Mytilus edulis: one gene and its partner. The protein of the gene in region 1 purifies or fractionates together with the protein of each later gene. This does not show direct contact. Links are inferred from orthologs where the notes say so. Each region holds a gene or a part of one and is shown in the gene's direction. Other genes may lie near its edges.

The links.
Region 2: the proteins of protein lin-37 homolog (region 1) and protein lin-52 homolog purify together in Homo sapiens (affinity purification with mass spectrometry; 6 studies listed by BioGRID and IntAct, counting the BioPlex papers as one, with this or other methods). This does not show direct contact. The link is inferred for Mytilus edulis from reciprocal best matches to the Homo sapiens genes LIN37 and LIN52.

What each region holds. Positions count from the first base shown.
Region 1 is NC_092344.1:36,878,517-36,894,676, reverse strand, and holds the start of protein lin-37 homolog, read left to right. Parts: upstream 1-9,087; 5' UTR 9,088-9,198; coding exon 9,199-9,214; intron 9,215-16,160. Other genes in the region: histone deacetylase 11-like, read right to left, coding at 330-512, 967-1,083, 2,984-3,013, 3,983-4,083, 4,794-4,948, 8,768-8,805.
Region 2 is NC_092346.1:42,561,879-42,577,855, forward strand, and holds the start of protein lin-52 homolog, read left to right. Parts: upstream 1-9,313; 5' UTR 9,314-9,343; coding exon 9,344-9,359; intron 9,360-15,293; coding exon 15,294-15,365; intron 15,366-15,851; coding exon 15,852-15,886; intron 15,887-15,977. Other genes in the region: probable methylmalonate-semialdehyde/malonate-semialdehyde dehydrogenase [acylating], mitochondrial, read left to right, coding at 1,918-2,047, 2,853-3,034, 3,824-4,003, 5,016-5,114, 5,728-5,835.

The sequences.
Region 1 (16,160 bases):
AGCCAGTGGAAACCCTGCATCATATTATTTTCATTACTTTGTAATCTTATTTAGTTGGTCTGTGATTACATAATTGGAGTATGAAATCTATGTAGAAACACCGTGTTGGGGTATTTAAAGAGAAAGTAGGTATGAATTTCACTACAAATATGAAAATCTTCAATATAAAAAACAAGCATCTTTTCTGTATCCTTATCCAATAACAAAACGTTAACCCTGTTAGTAAACAACTGATAGACAGAGTGACGACTATACTATCGTCATCACATCCTTGCATTATGCACATTTTTTTTTAGTCTTTTTTTTATTCTTCTTTAAAAGATACCTACCTGATGTGCATCTAAGTCAATAATCATAGCTTTAGCTACACCCTCAACACGCTCAAACAGGAACTTTAATGATAATGTGATGTCCGCATATGCACAAAACCCTCCTCCTTTCTCAGCATGGCAATGATGAAATCCTCCGCCTATATTGATGGCCCATCCTCTTTCCATTGCTAATTTGCCAGCCTGTAAAAATTGTTTTAAAACATTTTTTCTCGTGTATTTCTACTTAATTTCATATGTTAATAATTTAATAAATGCAAGTTGAAATTAAACTAAAATTAAAATAAAGAGCTGTATCCAGACATACAACCAATTTGAGAAACTTTTGTATGTATGTTTTTTATAAAAAAAAAATGTATCTCCATACAGTGATTAAAGTGAGATTCAGTAAGTATTTATATATAGATATTTCGGAAATGTTTCATGAAAACTAAATAAAATTGTTTTTATTACTGTCAGAGACTATAGTTCATTCATAAATGTATTTATTTGGATGGAGAGTTGTCTCATATGCACTCATACCACATCTTCCTATATCTATTAAGATTATTCAACACCAGGCTTTTATAACATTTTAATAATGTAAATTTAGTAAGATAAAGATGGTTTCTTTTTAAAATAAGCTAACAATACATACCAATATAGTACCTCCTGTGTGATATCTGAAAGGTCGTAAGACTTTTCGTTGTACAATGAAATTAGGTAACAAAGCCACAGGTGGCACCTCTGTTATCTGAGCCACATTTAAACTCCACTGAAATTAACAAAACATGCCTTACTCTGTTATCAAGTGTTTTTATTTATATTAATATTCCATATAACCTTTTTTGTTCTATTCAAAATGTGGTTGCTTACAATGACAAAGAAGGTTGATTGAATAAATTTTATAAATAAATAAATCTAACTTAAATTTCATCACTCTTCTGACTACTGTAAAGAGCTAAGGCAAAAAATATCTTTATACCTCTGTTATGATTAACAAGCCACAAACCAACACATACAAGTAAATACATACCATTGATTGTAGTTGTGGATTAAAACAAATGCATTTTATCCAAAATGTTTATGAAACTGACAAATACATTTAAAGATGATAACCCTTTTTTCAGAATTGTATATTCATGTTTATATATTCATTTATCAATTTAACTATAAGATGAAAATTCAAATCTGTTATCTGTGCAATTCTCCCCGTCTCTTTCTAGAATTCCTTGAGGTCCCAGTGCTTGTATCTAATTTATCTATATATTAAAGACATGCTTCTTCCCCTACTTTTCAACAATTATATTATACAGATCTTCAATGTGAAAAGAAGTTAATAGGCAATATAATTACACCATCAAACATTTAACATAGAAGAAAAGATGACCTATGCATTGAAATGTCTTTCAGGGTCAATTTCGGGGTGTAATACACCAACTGTACAAAAAACTTTTTATCATAGGGCTAGACTTTCTTAACATGCATGTATACCTATCACAGTGAATGCAGGAAATATATAAAGGAACAGTTCTTTTTTTTTATTATGGTTTTCCCTAATAAATTAATTACATTTACATGCAAGAGTAGAATGGAGAGTGAATTTCTTATTTATAGAACTTATAACCAGAATTGTTCATGGTAGTTTTTGAACAAACAGTTTTATTTCATTCTTTTATTATTTTCATACAGATGTTTTGAAAGTGTTTACCCTCAAAAAACAAATTTTAGCAGATAAGCTGTCATCATGAAAATACATCAAACACCATGAAGAAATTTAATTGGTATAAAGCATAAAGGTTAAATAAATTTCTAATTTCGATTTCATTTTATTTCTTTTCAATTGTTCAAATTTTAGTGGTTGCAAACATGATACAATATTGAATTACAAGGAGTCTTGGTGTTAATTTTACGTGAAATACTGGTTTATAAAAATATATTCAAATAGTAAAACTTCAAATAAATTTACTCATAAAAATAGACTTTAAACAATTTCAAATTTGGTTGTTTTTTTTTTTATTTACTGTGATCATGTGTAACTGTGTTGTGTTACTACATTTCAAAGATTCTAGATTTTGACATTTTCAGTTTTTAGCCCTTAGTGTATTATGCAGAATAAATAATGACCCATAAATGTATCTTTCCAAACACCTTATCATAACTACCATCAACTAAATATTATAACTTCCAATTTTCCTGCAAAATTGCTCAAAACCAATGATAAATGACCATAAATTAACAGGCAACATAATAACACTGTTTTCTGTGTTTGATAAAAAAAAATGTAGGTAGAGAATGTATGCTCATATGTGGAAGGAAATTAAAAAAAAATATGACAGTCAACCTATGCTAACATTTTATAAAGAATATGCAAATGGGTATGGTTACTATGGTAGGAAGTTAAAGTGAAATGTGTACAATAATCAGGTACTAACAACATGCATTTAACATACTGACTGAGTACAATAATAGCTTATTTGTGTGTTTCTTTTATTTAAAAAATATTGATGCTATACATATTGTAAATGGCGGTACATAGATTATGCAAGTTAACATTCAACCTTGCTAATATAAATCCCTTTTATTCAAATCAAGACTGTGAAATTTGATGTCTGTATAGGTGCAAGGACATGTGACACATAAGCATGCAACAAAAACTGTGTACAATATAATACCTCATCAATCCCCTCCACGAAATCTGATAGCTACATAACGAAGCAGAAAAACTACTTGAGCAAAACAATTTAGTATGTTAAAAAGTAAAATAGAGCCTGTCTCAATGATTCATGGAATTGGGTTAGTAATATTTTGAAATATATAAAACTGGTACATAAGATGAAAAAACTTTATTATGAGAAGTCATTTTCTTTGTTTCAAAACATTCAATTATTTCAGTCTTAGAGTATATAACTTTTGGTTAAAAATACTGAAAAAAAGACAATTCAAAGATTTTTTTTACATAAAACAATAAAAACTATAGCTAGTGCATATAAAAGGATGTTAAAATTGTTTTAAATATCAAAGCATGCTTTTAAAAATCTGAGACAGCATCTATCATCACATGTTAAACAATATATCTATAAATGTTAGTAAAAGTGAAGTACAAAAGTTGTTAATTACATGTTAGAAAAACATACCAAAGAGGGTACTGATGAGTAACTAGGACATTATGATATATATTGTCTAAGAAAATGTACAACATTAATTACTCTAAGTTAATCATGTAACATCATTAAAAGCATTTTTCATATTATGAAAAAAAAGTTAATATGAAATAAAAGAATTGTGTTTTCTAAACAAATGATACATAAAATAATCAAAATATAACATATGCATGATATGGTTTCTTAGCAGTCCCATTACCATGCACTGTAATTTAGTATCTTGGTTATTTTTTTACCAATTCAGTTTCACTGGAAAAGTCTTTTCATATGACTCCAACATGAATATTGTTTTGACAAAAACACTGTCATTTGAATAAGTTAACACAAGAGAAGAAGAAAATAAACTGAATAACTTGTGTGTTATGTAATTAATAATATATATAATTGGCCAGATATGAACAAATTGCATAATGTGCTCGGAATTAATCATATTGAATGAAAAAAGATCCATATTATAACCACCATCCTTTAAAGCTGAAAAATGAAAAGAGAACTAGGATTATATCTTACTTTCAGATCTTTGAGGTATTGTGCAGTATGGACAACCAATAAATCTGTTTGCGTAGCTTCTTTTGGCTTTACTATGGTCTTCTCTTGAATCAACTTAGCCTCTGAAAATATTTATTATGTATCAATAAGTAAAAAAAACTGGATAAGAAACATTAATCAAAGTGCTTGTTAGCACTGTAGATAAGAAACATTAATCAAAGTGCTTGTTAGCACTGTGGATAAGAAACATTAATCAAAGTGCTTGTTAGCACTGTGGATAAGAAACATTAATCAAAGTGCTTGTTAGCACTGTGGATAAGAAACATTAATCAAAGTGCTTGTTAGCACTGAAAGGGTAAAGATTGCTTTCATATTGCAATTTCATGAATTCAAAAGAAAACATTGAATTGTAAATAGCTCAGCAAATTATAAATTTGAGTTGAGCCTATTTTTGTAACAGATTCATACGCCATGCAATAAATTATAAAATATTCAATAGAGAAAAGTCTTCTTGACAAGTACAATAATTAAAATTCCCATTATGTTGTAACTTGAATGTCTGATTACATCATATCATTAATAAATTGCTTGATATTGACTGAATAAGATATAAAGAATGATCTCTTCACTGCACTATTTTGTTTGAAACCATCAAATGTAGTGAAAAACAATGGAAGATTTTTAAAATATCAAGTCAGTACATGTACAATAGGGTTTTGATCGCATTTTATGCATTCTTTACACAAGAAGTCACTCAGATCAAACATTAAAATAGCAGGTGCAATATTGATAATTATACAATGAAAAGTGAAAAAAATAGGTCTACCAGTACCTTTTAGGAATTCATAAACCTTTCCCCATTTCCCAGCATCAAAGGGATGAAGTTTTTCTAGACCAAGAAATCCAATGTTGTATTCAGGTGTATATATTATAGGCCATTGTGTTTCTGCAATCTTAATGTACAGCTCTGTTGACTGAGGTGCAGAACTGCAAAATATAAATTCAATCATTTATTCAATCATTTATTCTATCATATTAATCTCTTAAAATGAATGTATAGCATTAAATTTGATTTTTTAATTTCATGACTGTATTATGTACTGCAGTGTTACTGTCTTATAATCATGATAATAACTATGTGTAATCTTTAATAGGAATTTTATATCTTTACTTTCAATATTTTTCTTTCAGCATGTTCAGTATTTTAAGCAAAAAGGTTAAAATAAAGAAGGTGCTGTCCATAATCATGATAATATTGACTTAAAAACATTCTTTGGGGTTTCTGCATGGTTTTTTCTGTTCAACTTGATGTGTATTTGAGGTATTGGATAATTGTAATGCATGTTTTAAGCAGTTGAGTATCTTGCATGATCATTGTGTTTTTTATTGTGTGTTAGTGATAAAAGAAACTCATAGTTTTCCCTTTGATTGAAATTGCTACTAATTTTCTTATGATCAAATGACAGCTTGCATTGGGTAATGGAAAAAAAAGATCATTTATGCATACTAAGAATTTTTTGTCAATATTATATCAATTATTATCAGATACCAAATCACCAACTAAATGCTAAATTGACTATCAATTCAGTGTTCCAGCTAGGTTTTCAAAAGGGCAGGGTGCCAATCCTGAAAAAGGGCATTTAAAGCGCGATATGATAATATGAAAAGGGCATATTTTAATAAAAGATGATAATCAAACATTTGTGTTTATTCGTTGAATCACAGGTTATACAAGAACAACATCTTTAGCCCATATAGAACTCTATCTTTCTACTTTTAAGGCTGAACCAGATGCTCCGCAGGGCGTAGCTTTATACGACCGCAGAGGTTGAACCCTGAACGGTTGGGGCAAGTATGGACACAACATTCAAGCTGGATTCAGCTCTAAATTTGGATTGTGATTAAATAGTTGACACATCATAGGTTTCTGACACAGAATGAATGTGTTCTAATGAACTTAAAATTTTTGTTTTCTCTTAGAGCAATTCACTATGCTGTTGAATATTAATCCTCTCAAAAAAATGTTTGAAGAAATTTTCTTTTTTATTTATGAAATTTCAAATGAGAAAAATTGAACCCAATTTTTTTAATCACATCCCCCTTTCCCTTATTCCAAAACTAATCTCAATTAAAATTTCTAATGGAGTTTGCAACAATAACTACTCATTTAAATACATCATAAAATATTAAGATGTAAAAAAACTGCTTGTTATCACTGAATGGTAAAGATTATTTTAATTTATCAGTTGGTAGTAAAAAGTGAATATACATTGTATATTGTATATAACAAAGATTTAAGTTGATTCTGGACAAAGAAAGATAACTCCAATTAAAAAAAAATCTTGCTATTGCACAATATTTTGCAATTAGATATTTCTTGCTTACTATTCTGGACAAAGAAAGATAACTCTAATTAAAAAAAATTTTGCTATTTCACAATATTGTGCAATTAGATATTTCTTGCCATTGCGCAATACTTTGCAATTGAAAAGACTTGCTATTCTAACGTTATGGTGCGAAAACCAAGAAAAATGCTTATTTGGGTCCCTTTTTGGCCCCTAATTCCTAAACTGTTGAAACCAAAACTCCCAAAATCAATCCCAACCGTTCTTTTGTGGTCATAAACCTTGTGTCAAAATTTCATAGATTTCTATTAACTTTAACTAAAGTTATAGTGCGAAAAACCAAGAAAATGCTTATTTGGGCCCTTTTTGGCCCCTAATTCCTAAAATGTTGGGACCAAAACTCCCAAAATCAATACCAACCTTCCTTTTGTGGTCATAAACCTTGTGTTAAAATTTCATAGATTTCCATTCACTTTTACTAAAGTTAGAGTGCGAAAACTAAAAGTATTCGGACGACGACGACGACGACGACGACGACGCCAACCTGATAGCAATATACGACGAAAATTTTTTCAAATTTTGCGGTCGTATAAAAACTTGTCAAGCAGCTTGTCACACAAGTTTTTTTATCATTGCTTGGCACAGTTGAACTTTATATGCAGTATGTTTTGAAAGGAGATCTGTTTCATACTGTTTCTATGGTCTACCACATTTTACCAGTTTCACCTTTCTACCCCTGCTGTGCTTGATGGCAATACAGCACAAAACAGCTGTGCTCAGTAAATTCACAATTTTAGGATATAAAGCAACAGTGAAAAATAGTATCAAAAATAAAGAATACAGAATAGATGACCAAGGCACCCTACCAACACTGCTACTAAGACCCTCTTTAACTTTTCCCATAACTCAAAATAAATACCTAAACATATATATTCTTAAGCAAGAAGTATGGAGACACATTTTAGAATATGTAAATGGGTTACTCAATGCTAGGAAAAAAATCAGATTGAGTTATCTTTCTTTATTCGGGTGTGCTCCTTCTTTGGAGGATTATAAACAGTACGTAAATATGATGTAAATATGATCACAATATGGCGGCCGATTTTGTTATTTTCGTATCAAAAATGAAGGCAGTCAATGACAAATACGTCTGAATTTTCTGTTTATTTTACAGAAAACAAGTAAAACAATGTCTTCAACGAGTTTATAATGGTTTTCCAACTTTCTGTCATTACGTTTCTTCCATGAAACTACGGTAAACATCGCAAATTGTGCCCAAGTTGTTGTATGCACATTTCTTCAAAGATAATTGCCGACTGACCGATTCTATTTGAACGAATTAATGTTGATGATCATTAATGACCCATCCGATAAACGGATTACCTATATAAACAACAGATTATGACACCAGTTGTAACCATTGATTAGCTTGGGGTGGTAAACAAAGTCATAATCTTTTCCCCAGGTAAAATTTAGTAATTAGCGTATCATATCAATACGCAAATTAATATGCAATCGATCTTCAAAAAAGGCAGGGTGCCCTGGAAACTGTAAAAAGGGCACATGGCGCCACTCGGAAAAGGGCGGGCGCCGTGCCCTCTGAAAACGGCCTATCTGGAACACTGTAGGTGCTGATTTAACAAGATGCTGCTCATTTAACCAGATCCAGACTAGACTTTTTCTTAATAGGAGCTGAACTTATTTGTAACCCATTAGATTAGATTAGATTTTATGGGCGCAGCCATTTTATGAGCATAACATGGTATTCAGAATTAAAAGAATGGCTTATCCTGATTGGTCGATATGTGCGCCCGTTATTTTTTATTTTTAAAGACTTCGTGCACTCTGCTTTATACAAAAGGCAAAATAAAAATTATTCTGTAGCCCTAACGGCACTGAGATGACTTTTTAACGCTAGGACATGACACGTATTTTTAAGGGCAAAATTGATAGGCATGGGAGATAAGTACAAAATACGCTAAGAAAAGCAACGCGAACCTATATTTTTGGGACCAAAAAATACTGTCCTAATAACTTTTCTTTGATTCTAGCAAGGTTTCGTTAAAAAAATCATTTTTCTAATGCTGTATCTCGAAAAAGGCTACCATTGTCGCCTATGGGGAAATTAATTGTTTATTTCAATCTTCAACATAGAAAAGTAAGAGACTGGGCCATTTTTGCTTGAAACAAGTACCTATATAAAATACATGTTTTAAGTCACTGCCACTGTCAAGGCACTTGTTATTACTAATATATTAGAATACTATAATTTCAAGCATTTAGGAATCATTCAGGGGACTATTCTGTAGTTGGTTGAATTGCTTCCGTCTGTGGGCCAACCAACTCTGACATCGACATATTAATTAGGCTGAGGACAGACTCGAAACACTTTGTAGTTTTTTCTTGTAGCAAGCATGTATTTGTCTTTCTTTTTTTTAATTGTATAAGAGTCTAGTCTAACATTTCTTTCTGGATATTGTTATCTTCGTTTGTTGTCATTCTGCATGTTTACGGAAGTAAAAATTAATAAATGCAAATAAGGATAAGAAAGATTTTAAAATTTTAATTGAAATAAGCTGATTGGAAACATAGCAAATAACACGTATTTTAATTGACCAAAATACTCAAATAAAATAAAAAAATGAATGAAGTACTGAAAATATCTTTTCACTAATGGTGTGTTATTTAATATGTTTATCCCAATGTAAAAAAAAGTAAGAAAAATGCTGTCATTTATTCAAAATGTTAAAACTTAATTAAACCAATCACATCTTACGTTATAAGCGTCTGTCGGCTACGAAAGGAAAATGGCGGAAAACTAAAATTTTGAGCACACAGTCTAATCATAATTTGTTACAGAAGTGTTCAGAGGTGTCAATATAGTCTGTTAAAATGACATCTGTAAAAGGTAAAAATAATGATCAAATCAAGAGCAGGTATATAAGCATATGTGACCTGAATGATAATTAAAACAAATATTTGCAATGAAACAAGAGTCAGTTCAAATTATGGTTCGGCCTTGGTCGTTTCGGACTTGTCATCCATCCATCAGCACATTGATGACTTAACACGTACCTCGGCGCATCTCAAACAGACACTTAATAAAATAGAACAATTTATGAATGCAATAATTGAATTATATTGTGCACAAAGATAACACAGTTTTATATTTACAAACAGGTTGGATATCTCGGTCTTAGCAACAAGAAGCGACACTAAGAATAATTTAGCGACAAGAAGACTATTTAAGGACAAGATTTATTTCTTTTTAATTAGAGAATTACTTATTCCAAATAAATATTAAAAGAATATGCAAAAAAAAACAATTTTAGCAACAAGCATGACATGAAAGTTTATATTCTATCAATAAATTTTTTTTGAAACATAGACAGTGATTGGGAAGGACGTGCGCCCTGTGCCTATAGCGCATATTGACAAGAAATGGCGCATACAGTGACACACGTAAGCGCCCACGTGGCGCACAATATTTTTCACTTCGTTTCGAAACATTTAGATATCGTGTTCCGTGCCGCCATGTGTGTGTACATAACTGTGTAATGTTCCTCCAATAATAGGAGCACCTATATATTTTTGGGACGTCTCGGGTGTTTCCCTTTGATAATAGAACCATGCGATTTAACGTCTCGGGTGTTTTCCTATTGTAATAATACTAGAACCATGCGGTCTAACTGATAACCCGAAAAACGTAATTAACCATCATTCATGATATATTTTTTTTTATAAACAACTTTAAATTTGTGAAATTTGGCTAGTACAGACGAGATTTAACACATATAATAATTTCATTTAGTTTAGCTCGATATTATTTCGATTGAAGAACCCAAAGACTTTTTAGGAATATAGTTTTTGTCTCCATAAAAGACGCTTAACTGTCCTTGTCATTTTTTGGTCTTTGGCTCGTTCTGACATTTTGTAAACATGACTTCAGCGATTTGTTGTTTTGTTCTATGAATTAATGGTACTCTATACTGTTATTCTTGTCACCGTGTTGAAGTTATAATAATACAAGAAGTGCAGAGGAAATGCCTGAAATGTCCTCTGATACGGAACGTCTGGAATAAGTATGGTATTGACGAAGACCCAAATTTAATGTACGAAAAAAACCAAAAAACATGAACATGAGCAAGGCAACAGTACCAGTTTAAACATTGCAACAGTGTTTTCCTTTTTTCACTAAGGTAAGGTGGGTGTTTTAAAAAAATAACTTGCAACCGGCTGTTTTTTTTTTAAATGTCCAACCTTTTTTAATTTACTGTGGGTGCACGTGGGGGTCACAGAAATAAAGATGAGTATAATATTCACATTTAATGGAGTTGAACAAACATAAATAGAAGTAGTCATATTAATTGTCAAATATTCTTTGATTTTATTTTTTCAAAAATTTATCTCTTCTTTCATTTACAATTTTATGCATCAGCATGGATTTAAGGCCGTTCGATCCAGGTTTCTGATCTGTTTCTTGCTTTTGTGCCGTATTTTTGGCACACAGAACAGTAGTATCCTTCCTTTGTGACTATAAGTCATTTGAAGTCTTGCTCATATTTGTCTTCACTTGCGTGTCTTTTCCGTTGTTTGGTTGATTTAATTTTTGTTCAATTTCCACAACTTCAACATTACTATCAATTTTATTTAACTTATTTGGTCTAGTATTTTCTTTATCATCATCGTCATCTGCCTTTTTTTTCCCCCGATTGATTAATGAATACATTGAAATTTGACGATTGGACTCCATCTTTGTCAATGAAAACAAGGCGGGATAAGTATTCAAATTTTAACGGTACAAAACCGAAAAAAATCCGGATTTTGAAAAAAAAAAGCCGACCACCTCCTAAAATCGAAAGGTGGTCGGCTTTCAAAAGAAGGTGGTCGGCAAACCCGGCTTAAATGCCGAATGGAAAACACTGTGCAAATAAAGGTTAACTTGAATATTGTTGGGGTTGGAAGAAGAATTGTATATTCATTGAAATTGAAATTACAAAATCACAGGAACAATACCCATGATTTTATTTAAAATCATAAAGGTAAGTACCAACATGACCAACACCTCTTTGCCAAAATATACTGATACTTTTTTTTACAGAAGTCAATTCAAATGGCCCACTCATTTGACAACATGGCCCATTGTTTTTTTAAATGGCCCATTGAATTTATTTTTGAGGAGCCCTGGGCCCATAGTGAAAAAAACCTTCCAGATCACTGCATAGATCTAATTGCTATTTATATTTGTTGAATTATGAAATATGAAGAACTGAAATCAAACAAATAGTTTTCAACATTTTAATTTGTGTATTGCCTCATTTAATGATATTTATCAAGCATAGTTTAATGTTGATTGAAGATTAAAGTCATAATAAACGAGTGACAGGTGAAAAATAATGTTATTCCAATTCTTGAACCAATGCATACAAACATCATAAACTTAGTCTTCTGTGCACGATTCTATAATTTTTTTCGCATAATATTCATATAATCGTCAATTTTTTTTCAATCGGTCAGTGTTGTTGTGAATATATGGCAGGTAATTAAAGTTTGTGTTTTGAAGCTGAAGTTTAATGATTGTCACCTGTTTGTCAACAATCAACAAAAAAAGCATGGATATTGATCACGTGTTTAACATGTTTAATAACATGTACAATCAGATAATAGTTTATTTTAAGGACATCCATGCGTATTGCGATCACCGGATTTTCACTAGATGGGTCACACGGAGGTCACTTTGCATACAGAAATTATGTCGGGGGGGAATTGTTTCGTGGAAGGAAAGGAAGCAATTAAAATAAAGTAAACTTCTTCTTAATATGAACAAATTAAAGAATTTTCTTCAGAAAAAAGTTATATGAACATAAGTTTTATAATGAAAAATATCCATTGAGATATATAAAAAAACATATGCATTATTTTTTTTAATTTGAAGTTTTTTATGACTTTAAAGGAAGTTAATGACAATCTTGAGTTTTTATACGCCCGTCGTCTTTTAGACGGGACGTATTATGGTATACCGTTGTCCGTCCGTCTGTCCGTCCGTCAGTCCGTCCGTCGTCAACACTTCGGACAATAACTCAAAAACGCTTTCACCAATTTCCATGAAACTTAAGTGAATTGTTAATATCTATTGACGTAAGCTCCCTTTCGTTTTTTTTTAATTTCAGATTTTAAGTTTTGGATTTATGGGGCTTTATTCATAAAAAAGGGGGGATTTTCAACACTTCGGCCAATAACTCAAAAAGGCTTTCACCAATGTCCATGAAACTTTGGTGAATTGTTTATATCTATTGGTGTAAGCTCCCTTTCAATTTTTATAAATTTCAGATTTTAAGTTTTGGATTTATGGGGCTTTATTCATAAAAAAAGGGGGATTTTCAACACTTCGGCCAATAACTCAAAAAGGCTTTCACCAATGTCCATGAAACTTTGGTGAATTGTTTATATCTATTGATGTAAGCTCCCTTTCAATTTTTATAAATTTTAGATTTTAAGTTTTGGATTTATGGGGCTTTATTCATAAAAAAAAGGGGGATTTTCAACACTTCGGACAATAACTTAAAAAGGCTTTCACCAATGTCCATGAAACTTTGGTGAATTGTTTATATCTATTGATGTAAGCTCCCTTTCAATTTTTATAAATTTCAGATTTTAAGTTTTGGATTTATGGGGCTTTATTCATAAAAAAAAGGGGGATTTTCAACACTTCGGACAATAACTCAAAAAGGCTTTCACCAATGTCCATGAAACTTTGGTGAATTGTTTATATCTATTGATGTAAGCTCCCTTTCAATTTTTATAAATTTCAGATTTTACATTTCCGTGTTATGAATTTTTATGCTTAAAAAAGGGGGGATTTTCCAATTTTGGGACAATAACTAACACTTTCACAAAATTTTATGCAACTTTAATAAATTGTTTATATCTATTGACATAAGCTCCCTTTCCATTTTTATAAATTTTAGATTTTACGTTTTCTTAAGTAATGAATTTTTATACTTTAAAAAGGGGAATTTTATGAAACTTTGGTGAATATATTAATGTAACATCCCTTTTGATTTGTATATATATTTCTAGTTGATCATATAAATTCATTTAAAGCATAAAAGACAAGTTAAAAGAGCAACGGGCGTATCATGCGCTAAAGCGCAGCCCTTTATTAACAGGTGTTCTCTATTTACAATGATTGTATATTTTGGCACGTGTAATTGGATAGTCTAACACGTGTACGAAGTTGAAGGTGTTAATTGGATGTTATTGTAGCAATAAACCAAGGGGCTGAAAACAGTACATTTATTTATCTTTAACATATTCTTTATATTTAATAAAAAAAAATACACAATCCCTTTCTTCCTCACAAATGTCTGATTTCTTCATCTATCAATATAATAATAAAAAATATTATCAATTCATTTGTGCCCATATATTAAAAAAATTAAATGCATAGTTTTTAATATTTATTTAAATAAGTAATCTTAATAAAAAAAAAATGTTTTTTTGTCGCTAAATAGTCTTCTTGTTGCTTCTTGTCCCTAAAATTATTCTTCTTGTCGCTTCTTGTCGCTAATTAGTGAGACCCGGATATCTAAATATGCTGACTTTGGTTCATGGCCAAAACTTCTGGAAAGCTTTGCAATATCATTTGAATATTTGCATAACAAATCATTTGTTTTCCAAAGTTTATTTGAATAAAAAAAAAAATCTACTTGATTGTCTATATATTGTCCTGATAAATAAAAGGTGCGCTTGGACATTCAGGCTGACATTGTTTGAAAATTTTCCCCCTTATTAATTAAAATGTGTCAGATATTTGAACTGACATTATTACAGCATACTCTGTCTGACATTTCAAATCTTTATTGGTCAAGTGATTCAAACTCACACGTTTCAAGAATATGCATTACTTAACTTATACACTTTTCAAGAATATGCATTACTTAACTTATACACTTTTCAAGAATATGCATTACTTAACGTATACACTTTTCAAGAATATGCATTACTTAACCTATACACTTTTCAAGAATATGCATTACTTAACTTATACCCTTTTCAAGATAAAATTGAGAATGGAAATGGGGAATGTGTCAAAGAGACAACAACCCGACCAAGTAAAAAACAACAGCAGAGGGTCACCAATAGGTCTTCAATGTAGCAAGAAATTCCCGCACCCGGAGGCGTCCTTCAGCTGGCCCCTAAACAAATATATAATAGTCCAGTGATAATGAACGCCATACTAATTTCCAAATTGTACACATGAAACTAAAATTAAAATAATACAAGACTAACAAAGGCCAGAGGCTCCTGACTTGGGACAGGTGCAAAAATGCGGCGGGGTTAAACATGTTTGTGAGATCTCAACCCTCCCCCTATACCTCTAACCAATGTAGAAAAGTAAACTCATAACAATACGCACATTAAAATTCAGTTCAAGAGAAGTCCGAGTCTGATGTCAGAAGATGTAACCAAAGAAAATAAACAAAATGACAATTATACATAAATAACAACAGACTACTAGCAGTTAACTGACATGCCAGCTCCAGACTTCAATTAAACTGACTGAAAGATTATGATTTCATCATATGAACATCAGGCACAATCCTTCCCGTTAGGGGTTTAGTATCATACCATCATAACATATATGACAGTCTGCACGGTTAGCCACTAGTCCGATGCCTCAGACTAGTAAAATTTCATTCGGACTAGTAAGTATTTGCAAAACTTTCTTTGGACCAATAAGAAAAATGTCAGAATATTGGTCTTCGGACTAGTAGTTGAAAAAGTTTTTGGTGTAGACTGATATGAGAAGAACATAACCCGTGTCATGCCAACAACTGTTTTTAGAATAAATGTGTTTAGTTCCGATGCAAAGACCTTATCAGTGACTCAATATTAACGCCAAAATATGCAATCTTTAATGACTTGACAACAGTATCGTAATTATATCCCTTCTTAAGAAGTCTATTCAAAGGTTTTGTAAGTTTCTGAGGTGAATACTGACACCTTTGTGCTTTATAAAGAATATTTCCATAAAAAATTGGATGTGAAATACCTGAACGTATAGAAGTCTGCATGTTGAGCTATATTTACGAATGATGTCTTTATACCGATGATAAAATTTAGTAAATGTTTTGACTAGTTTGTGATATCGAAAACCCTGGTGTAATAATTTTTCAGTATTACATAAAGGAGTAGGTCCGGTAAGGGCCGATTTCGGCCTCAATTTTCAAGTTCATCTAACGAAAGATTGTAGACACTTTCTAAACACTTAAGTGTCTATTTCCATTGATTCAATTAGTTAATGGGGAAGATTTTAACTTAATAAGTCATTTAAAAAGCCCCGATTCAAGCTTAAATATGAAAAATCTATCAAATATGCCAAAAATCGTCACTTTTCAGATGGTTTTTGTCACAAATGAAAGTGGCCGCATCTGTGTTCATCCTCAACCTTTATATATATTATGTATTATCATCAAATACAACTTACATTTCAATATTATGAATGAACACAAATGCGCCACTTTCATTTCAGACGGAAACCGTCTAAAATTTAACTAAAATGCTACAATTGTGAAGATTTCAGTAATTTAGCATGATTAAATGATGCTAGTACCCGATATATGTGCATTGTTTTGTCAAAAACAGCCCATATTTATGTAGCAGAAGTATTCTACTTTGCAATAAATATCTAAACGATTACATTTTCACAATTTTCTAAAACTGCTATATTTTGAGGCCAAAAAGGGGTCTTACTGAACCTACTCCTTTCTCTCGTTACAATCTAAAACATTGTTACATACACGAGCGAATCGTACAAGTTGAGATACATAAACACCATAAGATGGTGACAA
Region 2 (15,977 bases), on another chromosome or scaffold:
CAAGAAATTTTCAATTGCACACTATTGCACAATAGCAAGAAATATCTAATTGCACAATATTGTGCAATAGCAATTAATTTTCAATTGGAGTTATCTTTCTTTGTATAGAATAGTAGTTGATAATATATGTTGAAAATTTGCCAGACATGACTATGATGTCATTTTCTATTTTTATTTGCCAATAACTTTATGTAAATAACTTCATTGGAAATTTGCCAATATAAAATGTTGCTGATGAAGCTTTTTTTCCTTATCTTATCTAAAATGTTTTAGATAATGTATGTTGGAAATTTGCCAGACATGACTATGATGTCATTTTCTATTTTTATTTGCCAATAACTTTATGTAAATAACTTCATTGGAAATTTGCCAATATAAAATGTTGCTGATGAAGTTTTTTTTATTGTTTTATACAATAAACAATGTATATTCACTTTTACTACCAACCAATCTTTACCATTCAGTGATAACAAGCACTTTATTTTACATTTTAATATTTTATGATGTATTTAAAAGAGTAGTTATTGTTGCAAACTCCATTAGAAATTTGAATTGATATCAGTTTTGGAAAAAGGGAAACGGGGATGTGAAAAAAGGGGGGGGGGGGGTTAAATTTTTCTCATTTCAGATTTCATAAATAAAAAGAAAATTTCTTCAAACATTTTTTTGAGAGGATTAATATTCAACAGCATAGTGAATTGCTCAAAGGCAAAAAAAAACTTTTAAGTTCATTAGACCACATTCATTCTGTGTCAGAAACCTATGCTGTGTCAACTATTTAATTTTAGATTTAAATAAGAAGAAATCTTTAATTGATTTGTAAAATCTTGACATTTGTTTTGTGTAAAAAAACCCATGTAATGTCAAAAATTTGATCACAATCCAAATTCAGAGCTGTATCACGCTTGAATGTTTTGTCCATACTTGCCCCAACTGTTCAGGGTTCGACCTCTGCGGTCGTATAAAGCTGCGCCCTGCGGAGCACCTGGTGTCAAATATAAGATGTGTTGGATTTGCAATTAAGATTTATTCCAATCATTCTTTCAAAAGTGAAAGAATTTCTAAATTTGTTGTGAGGATTAACAAATACATAGGATTCATATATATATATAGTGAATTAATTCTTGACACAAAATCAATATGTGCACATTAAAATAAACAAAGCTTTTATTCCTGTTCATGTTCCAAAAGTCACTGAGGCCTTCAAAATAGGGCAACAACTCTCCTCCCTGCAAGTTTAAGATGGCTCCTAGCAACAGTTTGAGCAGAATTTCTTTCTAGATGTTCATTAAAGGACACAGTTGCAGAGAAATTTCAACAAATTGCGAACAAAATATGCAAAGATATTGAACTAATACTGACAAAAAAAAACAAGAAAAATTGAATCTTAAAATTATACAGATTCAATATAAACTAGATTAACATGAGGCTTGTCATAATATATGTTAGATACCTTGGCAGGTAAGTACATATAAATGTGGTAAACAAATTAAGTGAACTGAATATAAGTTTCAGTATAAAAACTGGCCAAAAAGAAAGGAAAAAAGAAGCACACAAATAACAAAAATTATTTTAAAAATGAATACACCATTATAATAAAAATATAAGAGCATACATCTCAGAAACTGATTTAGGTGGGGCCTCCCTTTCGAGGAAAAAAAAAAGGTTAATTATAGGGAATCACTGAAGCTTGACAATAACAGTGTATAAATGTGGAAGGTTTAAAAATGTTTTCCTGTGCTATAGATGCAGTGGCGGATCCATAAATTTTATAAGAGCTGGCCTTCTTTGAGGCAGTTAGTGGGCCCCTCTTATAAAATTTCTGGATTCGCCACTGCATCTATAGCACAGGGAAACATTTTTCAACCTACAACATATATGCACTGTAATTTTAACTTTTACCATATTGCTATTTAGTTGATAGGTGCAGCCTTTGGAGCAGCAGGACAAAGATGTATGGCTTTGTCTACAGCCATCTTTGTTGGAGAGGCAAAGGAATGGATACCAGAACTTATAGAGAAGGCCAAAAAACTCAAAGTTAATGCAGGTTTGTATTACCATTTTTCTCGTGCTTGCATTACCATTTTTCTCATGTTTGTATTACTATTTTTCTCATGCTTGTATTACCATTTTTCTCATGCTTGTATTACAATTTTTCTCATGTTTGTATTACTATTTTTCTGATGCTTGTATTACCATTTTTCTCATGTCTGGTGATAACTACTACTTACTTTTGACAATTGTGTAGAAATAAGTGTAATATTTTAGGTTCCTTGAAGAATAAATCTCATGTAATTTGACTGTAATTGCTTAATAAGACTTTCCTTAAAAAGTAGGCGTGTTTAACATGCCTTGACCGATAACTTTAACAAGTTATAGGTTAAGGTATAATTATGACAGAGCATTCATCCATTGACAGATTTAAGATTTTATTTGGTAACTCCTTGGTTTTATTTTCTTAGTTTGACTAGTTTATGTAGCTTCTTCTTACATGGTACATCAATTTTGATTTTGAATAGATTTTTGGTGTTTTAACACCACTTTTAAGCACCACATTTAGGCTATTTCGTGACATCCAATTTTTATTGGTGGAGGAAGTCAGAGTGCCTGGAGAAAACCACGACCTTCGATAGGAAAACTGACAATCCTAGTCAATTTTAAGATTTGAGTTGAGTGCACCCGCACGAGTGGGGTTCGAACTCACAACTTCAGTGTTGACTGGCTAGTGATTACAGTGGTAAATACTTAGACCACTCGGCCACCAAGGCCCCCATCAATTTAGAAAGATTTGCATTATGATTTTATAAATTTATATAGCATTCAGTGTGGCAAGGTTTTTTTTCTAAATATAGGAAATGAACCAGATGCTGATATAGGACCACTCATTTCACCTGAATCTAAGAATAGAGTTTGTGAATTGGTCCAGAGTGGTGTTGATGAAGGAGCACAACTGTTGTTAGATGGTAGAGATATTACAGTCAAAGGTTATGAACAAGGAAACTTTGTTGGACCTACCGTTTTGCACTATGTCAAGGTAAAACACCATCTAGACAATGGTACTCTGTAAACTAACTCAATTTTCCATATTAGCAAGTGGGGAAGATGTGGAGGAAAATAGTCAAAATTAAACTTGGATTGTCTTTACTATATAATGAATACACAGAAAATAAGAAAATATTGATTTGAAATTGCCAGACAAAGGTTAAAAATGTAAAAATGAATCTGCAATAATAAGTTGGTTAGCATTATGCATAACATAGATACATGTACTGACTAATAAAATATGATAATAAATTATATACAGTACATTTTTCATCGAAAATATAAATCGTTTAGAATTTGAAGGCTCTCTATTCTTTTAACTTCTTGAGTGATAATTGCTTAACATTCAAGATTCTTTTCCATGCTAAGTTAAAGTCGTATTGATAATTTGTAATAAATCAATATTTGGGGAAGGTGGTGGTTTCAATGTTGTTGAGCACTTGCACGAAATATATGTTCAAATATTCTTTTTCATGGATAAATCTATCAGAGTTTGTAATATATTTAGAATGCATTGCATCCTTTTTACTAGAAGATCTTTCAATTATTAGCTACTCAAAGGAATACAAGTTGAAAACCATTTCTGTGTTCTGTATATCTGAAATTATGACTAACTTGTGACATTTCAATTTGTCAACTTTGCTCATTCTTTGCAAAATGAAACAAAAGTTCTCTTAATGATAAAAAAAAATAACAAATATAAACGCTATTGTTATAATTAGCATAAAATTATTAATATTCGAAATTCTTTGAAAAATGTGTAATGATTGTATTTTCACAGCCTGAAATGAAATGTTACACAGAGGAAATATTTGGTCCAGTGTTGGTCAGTATGGAGGTTGAAACTTTAGATGATGCCATTAATATGATTAATGCTAATCCCTATGGAAATGGAACAGCAATCTTTACTAACAATGGCGCCACAGCCAGAAAGTTTACAATGGATACTGATGTTGGACAGGTATGTATTTGATTGGATGAAATTGTTATGCCCAACCTACAATAGTAGAGGGGCATTATAGTTTTAGGTCAGTGCATCCATTCGTTGTCTGTCCCACTTCATGTTAAAGTTTTTGGTCAAGGTAGTTTTTGATAAAGTTGAAGTCAGCTTGAAGAAACTTAGTACTCATGTTCCCAATGGTATGATCTTTCTGATTTTAATGCCTAATTAGAGTTTTGACCTCGATTTCAAGGTCCATTCAACATTGATAATGATAGTGTGAGTGGGGCATCTGTTTATTATGGACACATTCTTGTTTCAATATCATTTTGATCATACTATGGTTAAAGCAGTGAGGTAAAGTAAAAAAAAACCAGTTAAAGTATAATTATTCTATATTGTCGAGTAAATTTCTGATCAGAGATGTGAAAGAAAGACTAAGTATATTATATAACATTTTTTTGGGTCAATTGATGACCTTTTAACATCATTCAGAGTGAAGAAGTTTTGTATTTTTCATTGCTATTAAAACATTCTTGGGTTGTTTCAAGATAGAGAAATATTAACACTTGTTTTGTTTTATTTTCAGTACTCTAAGAGATGTAATATGTTCCCGAGTTGAATAATTTAAATAATTTCAAAAAGGTTATGTGATTTAGATTGAAGATTGTGTGCTCAAGCCATTGAAAACCTATATCATTTGTTTCAGGGATACAAATAAACAAAAAAATGAACACCTCTGCTGTGATGCCCTATTTAGTGAAAATATTGAAGAACTTAGAAACAAATATTTGCAATTAAGATAATTTATCATAAATGATTCATCACTATTGCTTTGTTATATATTTTGTGTATATTTTACTGTAACAATACTAATTATCTAGCATATTACAATAAACTGGTATGCTGTCCAAAATTGATAATCTATTTCTCAACAGTAAAGAAGACTAAGAAAGACATAAGGTTTCCTATATATAATTCAACTTGGTAATTTTATGCTCTGTCCTTTATTTTAATATCTTTTTATAAACAGGTTGGAGTGAATGTACCTATCCCAGTGCCTTTACCTATGTTCTCCTTCACTGGTTCTAGAGGATCATTCAAGGGTGACCAAAACTTCTATGGAAAAGCTGTAAGTATTATACATATCTCATTTATAGCAATAACTATTAATGACTCTTATTGGTTTGGAATCAGTTACCATCATGAATATTGATAGTAACAAATACAGTATTGTGTAATGATCTTTGCATAATATTTATGGGTAGGAGGATCATTTACCTTCACTTTTGAATCAAACCACAAAATGTTTTAAAATTTGAAATTTACATTTGTTTTTGAATTTGAAAAAAAAAAGAAATCTTTAGCAAGCTTCAATAGTTATTTCCTTTCTCTGAAAAAAGCAATTTTGCCCAAATCTAGAATGTTGTGTGTATATTTCGACGATGAGTGAACAAAACAGAAATTTAAATATTTTTTTTTAATCAGATCAAACAGAACAAGAGAGTTTACAAATTTCTTCTTAGAACAAGAATACTTTGAAATGCAGAAAATCATAAAATAGGAAAATGTTGTATGCATATAATTGAAATGTAAAATCAGAACAAAATTTTTATATTGAAAAAAAAAACTGGCTAATTTTTATCCAAATAATTTTCATGTAACTGCTTATAGCATTGTTCACTTACAATGCCTTTTGTTTGTATAATAAAGTTATAGTAAAACACATAACATATCTTTTACAGGGAGTAAACTTTTACACACAGTTAAAAACAGTCACACAGATGTGGAGATCAGATGATGCAGATTTATCGTCCAAAGCTAGTCCATACGCCATGCCAATCATGAAATAAACAAACAAACATTGCATAATATTTAATTTGGGAATTTGGTAAACTGTTATAATCAGATATGCATAGATGTGGCATTGATGAATTAGAAAATTTAAGTTGATGGTAGTATTTTCAGACTTGCTCACTTGAACAAAATTTCTTGTTTTTGAAGTGCTATTAATATATACATTTTTATATGTATTTTATTGAGATTTATACAAGTGATAAGCATTTGCATTTTGTATATTTATCAGATTATACAGAATTGTTATGGAATTTATATGATACTTTTAAATCATTTATTTTATAAAATGATGAACGAAATATTTATACACATTCACATTTGTAAATAAACCACTTATAAAGAATGATATCATGTCTCTTTTTCATTTTCTAAGATGCTGGAGTACTGATTAATTATATAGTTTTATTACTCAAAAAAGTCATACACTATGATGAACCATATTTTATCATAAATATAAAACGCCATGAATATGTCAAACTCTGATCTTCTCTGATGTGAAATAAGGAAAACTGTGAAATTAAATTACTTCTCAGTATACTGGAAAGGGGATATATAGCCTTCAATTGAGAATGGAAATAAGGAATGTGTCAAAGAGACAACAACCCTACCAAAGAGCAGAAACAGCCAAAGGCCACCATTGGATCTACAATACAGCAAGAAATTCCTGCACCCAGAGGCAGGCTTCAGCTGGCCCTTTAAACAACAATATGTACTAGTACTAGTGAAATGGATGTCACATTAAACTCTGAAACATATAAATCAACTAAAAAAACAAACCAGACAAGACTAAGGCTCCTGACTTGGAACGGGTGCAAAAATGCAAAAAAAAATCATATTGGAGAATTTTACTGTGTGACACATTTACAGATATCTCACTTTTTACTTCCTGTTTGGCCTACACATGTATGTTTTTCCATTGACAATGGTTGATGCATGTATATGAAGTTTTCATCACATAATTTCAAACAACTACAAACCTGTGCTTCTTGGTAATTTGTTCACCAAGCTTCATATTGGTAGGCTGTAATGTGTCATTATGTGTGACTCACTTATACATCTGCAGATATGAATAAGGGGAGATGTTCAAGTACAAAATGTATATATCAGACAACAATCCAATTAAAAAAAAGACATTTAGAGAGTAACAAATTGTCTTCAACATTAAAAGGTGTCTACAATACTTCAAGCCATAAACCATCCAACATGTGAATAAATATGACTAACACTCTAAGACCTGACATCAATACCCAATTCTCCAAATAGAAAAAAAGTATTAGTATATGATATACTTCTACTGACAAGGTTCCTGACTTGGGACAGGCACATACAAATGTAGGTTCTTGGCATGGGTGCATATTTAAAAAGAAATACAAACTGTAAATCTGTGTTTAATTCTTAAATCGTTGTAAGTGCTACTTGATAATGAAGTATACATGTAATTTTATTATTGCACCATATGGGATTATAGAGAGGATGCATATGCCTGCCAAATGACTTGATTTCAGCAGTAATGGTCCAGGGTATTTCCACTTGTCTTAAATTTCTATCAAACAAACTGAAATTTCAGTCTTATTTTAGTTATACATGTATATTAAGTCATGTAGTTCAGATCATGTCTGAAATACAGCCCTTTTTTATGCCCCATTTATGGGCATTATGTTTTCTGGTCTATGCGTCTGTTCGTTTGTTCGTTAATTCGTTCCTTCGTCTGTCCCGCTTCAAATTATAGTTTTTGGTCAAGGTAGATTTTGATGAAGATGAAGTCCAATCAACTTGAAACTTGGTACACAGGTTCCCTATGATATGATCTTTCTAATTTTAATGCCAAATTAAGAGTTTTTACCTCATTTTCACGGTCCACTGAACATAGAAAATGAGTTTGGATGGGGCATCCATGTACTTTGGACACATTCTTGTTTCATTGAGAGTTAGTTTAATTAAACTGTTCTTTGTTTTAAATGATGGGTTAACAGGAGTTTAATAGTAAGACAATATTTTATGGAAAGGAGATAACTTACTGACTAGCTCATTTGGATGTAAAAGGAATCAAATCTTTAAGAAGACACCTAAAGACAACAAAGTTTTCATACCTCTGATTGCAATCACACGAACAAGAACAGTGAACAGCAATTTAGATATACATGGATGGATGTTGATCAGATAATTTAAATGACCATTATAAGTTTTACAGAATACCAAAGATATACCAGTCACCAGATTTTAGCTTTAAAGGAACATAATACCCTTAAAATATTTTGCACTACATTTTGTGGTGGCCACTTTTATTGATGGAGGGAGCTGGAGTGCCTAGTAAATAATGATCCTTTTGTGATTATTGGTGAAATGAAATAAGATTTGGGCAAGAACATTGCCAATTTCATAACAAATGTTTGGCTTTCAAATTTGCATCCATTGATGCCACCCAGCATCTCTGAAAAATTAACACTCAAGTATTGCTGCAAATATGAAGTTTTCACAAAAGGCCTAAATTATGATGAATTGTTCAAATATCTCCTCTTTTTGAACAACTGGGTCAATTTGAACCAATATCTAACCTGAATTAAGTAATGTGTCAAGTTACTTACGTTGGTAGATATAATTTTAAATTACCATTACTCTTGTCTGATGTAAATTCTAATAAAGAAATGATACCAAATATAAATACAAATACAAAAATTAAATAAACAACATATACAGAGACATATATACCAGTACATTGGTAGTTCACACATAATATTTTTAAAGTTGTATCATTATTAAAGATTTCACAAGATAAAATTTTCTTATACTTTGCCAAACCTTGAATTTATCATATGATTTTGCAAAATATAATAAAATTTTGAGTCACTGTGCTATTTTTGAAACTACAAGAAGGATTTTTCATGAAATAAATCTATTAGAAAGAATAAAGAAATGAAATATGAAAAGATATGCTTTTTAAAATGGTTTTAGAAAATAAAAAGAATAAATGGTGTCACCAAACTTGTGTTCTTAATAGTGCTAAAATAAAGAAAAAAAATATTTTCATTCCTACATTGTATATCAAAATTTTACTACAAGAGTGATCTCCACTTATATTGTAACCGGAGAGCATGTACTCTACAAATATGTTCTAAGGGAAGCAATCCTGTCACAATATGACAAAGTTGAAAAGTAGAATCTAACAAAAAACAAATTTTCAGTATTTGTAAAAACAAACTTAATTAATACAACAAATCACTTATTTATCTTTATTCAATTGAACTGTCTCAACATTTGCAGATTTTATCATTATCCAATAAAGAATTTCTTGTAAGTTAGATTACATGGCTGTATTTTAATCCTGTGTGTAAGGTGTAATGACAAATTTCATTTAATAATAAGGGATTTCATAGATTTAATTTTAGATAGGATTGTATGTGATTTATCGACCGTTGTCAGTTATTTTATTTTATTGGTTTTAGTCTAGGTTAGTTTACAAATCCGTCACCGATTTTGACTCTAATATTACTATTTTCTGCAAAAATGACAACAAATGCGGGTAAATTGAAAGTCAAAAACAATACATTTGTCATAATGAATACATGTTAACATTATCCATTTAAGGAAAATATTATATGAATCATTACTGCATTATAAATCTTTATATCTGTTCTACACAAAACTCTCACAGCGCCCATAAACATAAGTCTTAGACTTATAAGAGCTTGTCTTCAGGGAAAACGGTACTATTTATTCTGCCATAGGCGACAATATTAACATTTTCTAAATTTACAACTTTTTAAGATAAAAACTTGGATAAAACAGTTATATGTTGTGTTAGTACTTTATTATTGTGTTTTAAAAATTAAAGCCAAATAGTATCATGACCAACTTCCAACGGAGCTTGTTTATGTTATCCATGCCCACCGTCATTTTGCACCAAATTTATGAAATTTTGCAAGTCTTTTCAAATAATTCTCTAGAAAATATTTCAATAGGTTTCAAAATTTATGTTGTAAATATACACACTGCAGTTATTCATAGATAAATAAAAAATATATTGTACCCTTACATCCAATCACAGCGCTGCTAATTTGACTTCCTTCACCTGCCTTGGGTACACAAAAGGCCAACCTAATGCTGGGAAAATTAAATACTACCGTTTTCCCTATACTGTGACATAAAGATATAAAGAATTCTTATGACATTATGATTGCAATACTGGGCTATTGTGAAAACCTTGGCTATAATAAATACTTGTATGTTCCCAGTACTTAAAGAAACATAGATCATTTTATGTCCCCACCCCCACATGCTGGTTTGCCTCATTTTCTACTTCTTTCAGAAAAGCCTAAATAAACAACCTGTATCCAATCATATCTTATCTTATTCAAACAGAATGATAAATAGTTCCATTTAAACAGATAAAATGGACAGTTCCATTCAATTTGTATTCATTTTATCAAAAATTTACAACAAATGCACAAATTCAAGATTTTTCATACTAATCTCCATTCCATGCTTTAGTATATGCCATATTGTGGTTAAAAATTTCAGAGCTTGTTATAAAATCTACTATTCTGTCTTGAGATGATGAAAACAAAGATATTAGACACTTTAAACATTAAATATGCAAAATACTCAGCTGTAAAGTTGCATTTGTTGCCTGTATTAATCAATGAAAAAGCTGAATTATATCCCTTGGGAGTATTAATTTCCACCAAAAGTCCATTCAAACAGTAGGAAATGAAAAATTATTAATGTCTGATATAATAAAAGAAAGAAACTACAAAATGAAGCACTTTTGAAATATTTGCTGCATGAATTATCAAGAATGTGAACAATTCTTTACACAGGAGAGCATAAATTCTATGTAAATTTAGCCTCAAGTGGGCCTCTTTTTTTCTTAGATGAACAATTCTAACACTGAAAATGCTTCCAATGTGACCAAATATTGCCTAATTCCATAAACAGTACAAACTAAACCAGACAATTTCCCATTTTAATAGATAATGTTTACAGAAATACCCAAGTGATACATTTAGGGAATTACGCAGCAAAAAAGGCAAACATTTCAGTAAAAAATATTTGTCGCGACTTGAATTCTGGTGTTTCCAATTGAAAAAATCATTGCGAAAGGTGAAATCAAATACAAAAGAACTATAATATGGTGCATTTTACACAATATAGTTAGTATTGACATCCTAGAATAAAGTTTTATATCATTACCAATCAATTTGACCTATCGTGATGACTCAGCACTTTTCTCAACACAGTATTGTTCTCAGTGAAAAATTTCTATTCTTTGGGATAAAAATCAAATGTACTAATCAAAAGCTTCAAAATAGTATAAAAGAATTGAAGTCTTAGTGACTTTGATTTCCCTTGCTATCTTCAGTATAGGGAAAACGGTACTATTTATTCTGCCATAGGCGACAATATTAACATTTTCTAAATTTACAACTTTTTAAGATAAAAACTTGGATAAAACAGTTATATGTTGTGTTAGTACTTTATTATTGTGTTTTAAAAATTAAAGCCAAATAGTATCATGACCAACTTCCAACGGAGCTTGTTTATGTTATCCATGCCCACCGTCATTTTGCACCAAATTTATGAAATTTTGCAAGTCTTTTCAAATAATTCTCTAGAAAATATTTCAATAGGTTTCAAAATTTATGTTGTAAATATACACACTGCAGTTATTCATAGATAAATAAAAAATATATTGTACCCTTACATCCAATCACAGCGCTGCTAATTTGACTTCCTTCACCTGCCTTGGGTACACAAAAGGCCAACCTAATGCTGGGAAAATTAAATACTACCGTTTTCCCTTCAGCTGTTACCAACACAGGAGTTTGAAATCCTATCAATAAGGGGGTAAAAATATACCAAAGTCGACTATCACAGTAGAGCTTCTCTCGAATTTACCCCTCGACTTTGGTATATTTTTACCCCCTTATTGATAGGATTTCAAACTCCTGTGTTCCCAATCAGTTTTTGCAGTTCACGCCAAACTTCTTCTTCTTCCTTTATAGAACAGTCCATGTGGGAACAACAAATTATATGCGGGGAAGTGCCAAATAACTAAAGTGAATAGTAGTCCGAGATTAATCTGACGTCCAACAACTGTTTTGTCTGACAAGCTGGGGCCGTTCACATTGGACGACAGAGTAATCTCGGACTAAGTGAAAAGGTGCTTTTTAAAATATAGTCTGATATTACACTGTCCAGACAAGCTGGGGTCCAACAGAGTAATCTCGGACAACTTAAAACAATGTTTAAACAAGGTTGAACATCTATCCAAGCTGAACAACTTGCAAACCCCTTGTAAATGATTAAAGGGCTGTGCAGCTTCTAGTTGTTGTTGCAGTCCATTCCAGATTCTGATGGTGTCTGGGAAAAAATAGTATTGATATTATACTTGCATTGAGTTTTGGCAAAAGGAATAAGGACTCTTTATTTATGTCCTTGCCATGTTGATTTTACAGGCTGTAAATTTCTATATGGATGGTATGGCAATACTCTATAAAATTTTATAGATATCCAAAAGTTTTGAAAACCTTTGCAGTTTTACTCTCATATATCCTCGTATTATGGGTTTTTGTGCTATTACATGTAAGAACCAATTGTGACATGAGTGACGTCACAATTTCCATTGAAAAAGCATTTGTAGTACGAATTCATAAACATGTAACATACATTGTATCATATGGTCTGACCAAAAGTGAAACAGCTACCATGTTTGTAATTACTTTAAGTACAATGACAATAAGTTGAATAACTGATGTAATCTTTTATTATGATTATTTTTGTGACACACGTCTGACCAAAAATTAAATCATATTAGATTTATTCATTATGTTTAAGTTTGTAAAAGTGCATACAATACAGTCAACATTGTACAATATAGACAATATTTTATTAGCACAAACACATTTACATTAAATGGTTATGGCATACAAAATCAAGACAATAAACTGACAATAGTAATATTGATTATAATTATATTAGAGTGACAGTGATATTCACAGGGAAGGAAAAAAAGACTATAAATATCAACAGTTAACACATTATTAATGTTCATGAACAATCAAAAAAAGAACACAAACAAAAAATAGGTTGCATATTAAAAGAAATACAAGTTATACAGATGTTTTCAATATAAATACAAGTTGTACATGTTGTATATAAAAAAAGAAGATGTGGTATGATTGCCAATGAGACAACTATCCACAAAAGACCAAAATGACACAGACATTAACAACTATAGGTCACCGTACGGCCTTCAACAATGAGCAAACCCATACCGCATAGTCGGCTATAAATGGCCCCGATAAGACAATATAAAACAATTCAAACGAGAAAACTAACGGCCTTATTTATACAAAAAAAATGAACCAAAAACAAATATGTAACACATAAACAAACGACAACTACTGAATTACAGGCTCCTGACTTGGGACAGGCACATTCCTAGCATTTTCATTTTCATTGATAAAAATCTGCCTCTTTACAATATTGCTATAATATTTTAACTGTAAAGTGGTCTATTGCCACAAATTCAGCATGATAAGATGTGTGATGATTAGATATTTACTTCTTATCAGAGTTGTTAAGCTGGTCTACCTGATAACTGATTTAACTGTCCTCTGTTTTCCTTGTTAGTCTGTTTACTTATCTTTAGGGAAATTTGTCCCTCATCTAATTACACAATAATATAGGACCCCTGAAAAATCTGCTTTTGATTGTTTGCTGTGTCTTCAGAGTCATGCAGTATGTTTATTTAAACCTATAAAAAAAGAAGATCTGGCAAGATCGCCAATGAGATAACTCTTCACAAGAGACCAAAATGACACAGCAATTAACAACTATAGGTCACCGTACAGCCTTCAACAATGAGCAAAGCCCATACTGCATAGTCAGCTATAAAAGGCCCTGAAAAGACAATGTAAAACAATTCAAACAAGAAAACTAATGGCCTTATGTATGTACAAAAATGAACGAAAACAAAAATGTAACACATAAACTAATAACATGCTTGTTGTGAAGCTGAATGTAGAGATGAAAGCAGGCTGCCGAGGAAAATCAAATTACACAATTATTGCTGACTTGACCTGTCCCTATTGTCAAATTTGTGTAACTTTGTTGACCTTATCAGACATGTCAGATACTCTAAATATAGAAAAAAGTAGTTTGTTGATTATTTTTGAATCAATAAAGATATAATTGGTCCTCAATGCTCTTCAACTTCGTACTTTATTTGGCCTTTTAAACCTATTTTGTATTCGAGCGTCACTGATGAGTCTTTTGTAGACGAAATGCGTGTCTGGCGTATATACTAAATTTAGTCCTGGTATCTATGATGAGTTTATTTACAACCACTGGGTCGATGCCACTGCTGGTGGAGATTTATTTCTCCGAGGGTATCCGACTATCACAAGGCCAGGTGTCAGCACTTTTTGTGCTGACATGAATTTTATTGATATGGTTATATTTATAAATTTACTGTTTACAAATTTTTTAATTTTTTGAAATACTACAGCTTTTCTACCTCAGGCATAGATTACCTTAGCTGTATTTGGCAAACTTTTAGGAATTTTGGTCCTCAATGCTCTTCAACTTCGTACTTTATTTGGCCTTTTAAACTTTTTTGTTTTCGAGCGTCAGTGATGAGTCTTTTGTAGAGGAAACGTGCGTCTGGCGTATATACTTAATTTAGTCCTGGTATCTATGATGAGTTTTTTATATTCAGTAAGGCTTTTTCTCATCTGTCAAAACTGAACACTATTTTAACTATGACCTATGTACACACAGTAACCGTGTAATACAGATCACTAAAATATTTCAAATGAGATATTAGTAATTCATTATAAATAAATATGAAAAAATTTAGGAGACTTTTTTTTATAGTTATTAATAAATTATATAACAATGCTATTTAGTTCAGAATAATTTGATAAAAAGACTTTGTTTCAAAAAGTCGAAGTTAGTTTGTGTGTCATCTTAAATGCAGTAAAACAATCAATTGTATAACAATACCCCAAAAGTTGATGTAAGTGGAATCAGAAAACTTACTCTTAACTCTTCACTTAATGTTGTTTTCCGGTTCAGGTTCATCATGGTTTCTTTTCACCAGACTCAATTATTCTTTTTTTTTCTAGGAAACACAGCTGCATTTGTTTAGCATCCCTTTTACATAATTTTTTCTACACTTATGTTTTTTTGAAGAAATAAATTCAATGTAGCTTCCTTCCAAAAGTTGGCAAGTTTAGTAACAAATACGTACAAAAGTAAAATATCATATTATGGAAATAGGTCAGATACAATATTTTAATAACTTTCATTTAATTTTTTGTTATGAATTTTTATCCGTATGAATCAACATCTCTGAAGAAGTTGACCACTTAAACATGTTAAAGACTTAGAGGAACAGTTGAATATTTTCTTAAATTCTTACTCAAAGCAAAGTATTTCATTTTATTTTTAGAAACAGAAGAGCCAGATCTTATGAGCTTTGAGAAGTTGGACAGAGCATCACCCGATCTTTGGCCAGAACAAAGTAAGTTTTTAGCACTATAAAAATAGCCAACTGGAACAACTGGTTGCATTGACATTCATCAGAAAGTACTCTTAAACTGCAATTGTGCAACAGATGTTGAATTTTTTTTAGCAGCAACATGGTATATCTGAACAAGTTTTTAGAAGAATGACAATTTTATATTATTAAAGATATAGAATATTAATAGATTTTTCTCTTTTCTCCTTTTTTATATTGATTAGGCCATTGGTTTTCCAGTTTGAATGGTTTTACACTAATCATTTTGGGGATCTTTTATAGCTTGCTGTTTGGTGAGAGCCAAGACTCTGTGTTGAAGGTCCTACTTTCACCTATGATGGGTGTTGTTGTCTTTGTTATCGTTTTATTTCACCTATAATTGTTTAACCATACAAATTGTGACTTGGCTAGAGAGTTGTCTTATTGGCATTCATACAACATCTTCTTATATTTATGGAAATATGAAATGCTTGATTTTTATTCTTTCAGTTCCTGGTGTATCAGAATTTGCAGCTGCTAAAAGTGTAAGTAATTACAGTGTTGGTAAAACATTTTCACTGTATATGTGTACATGTATATGAGTGAATTATATACAAAATGCAAAAGAGGCCAGAT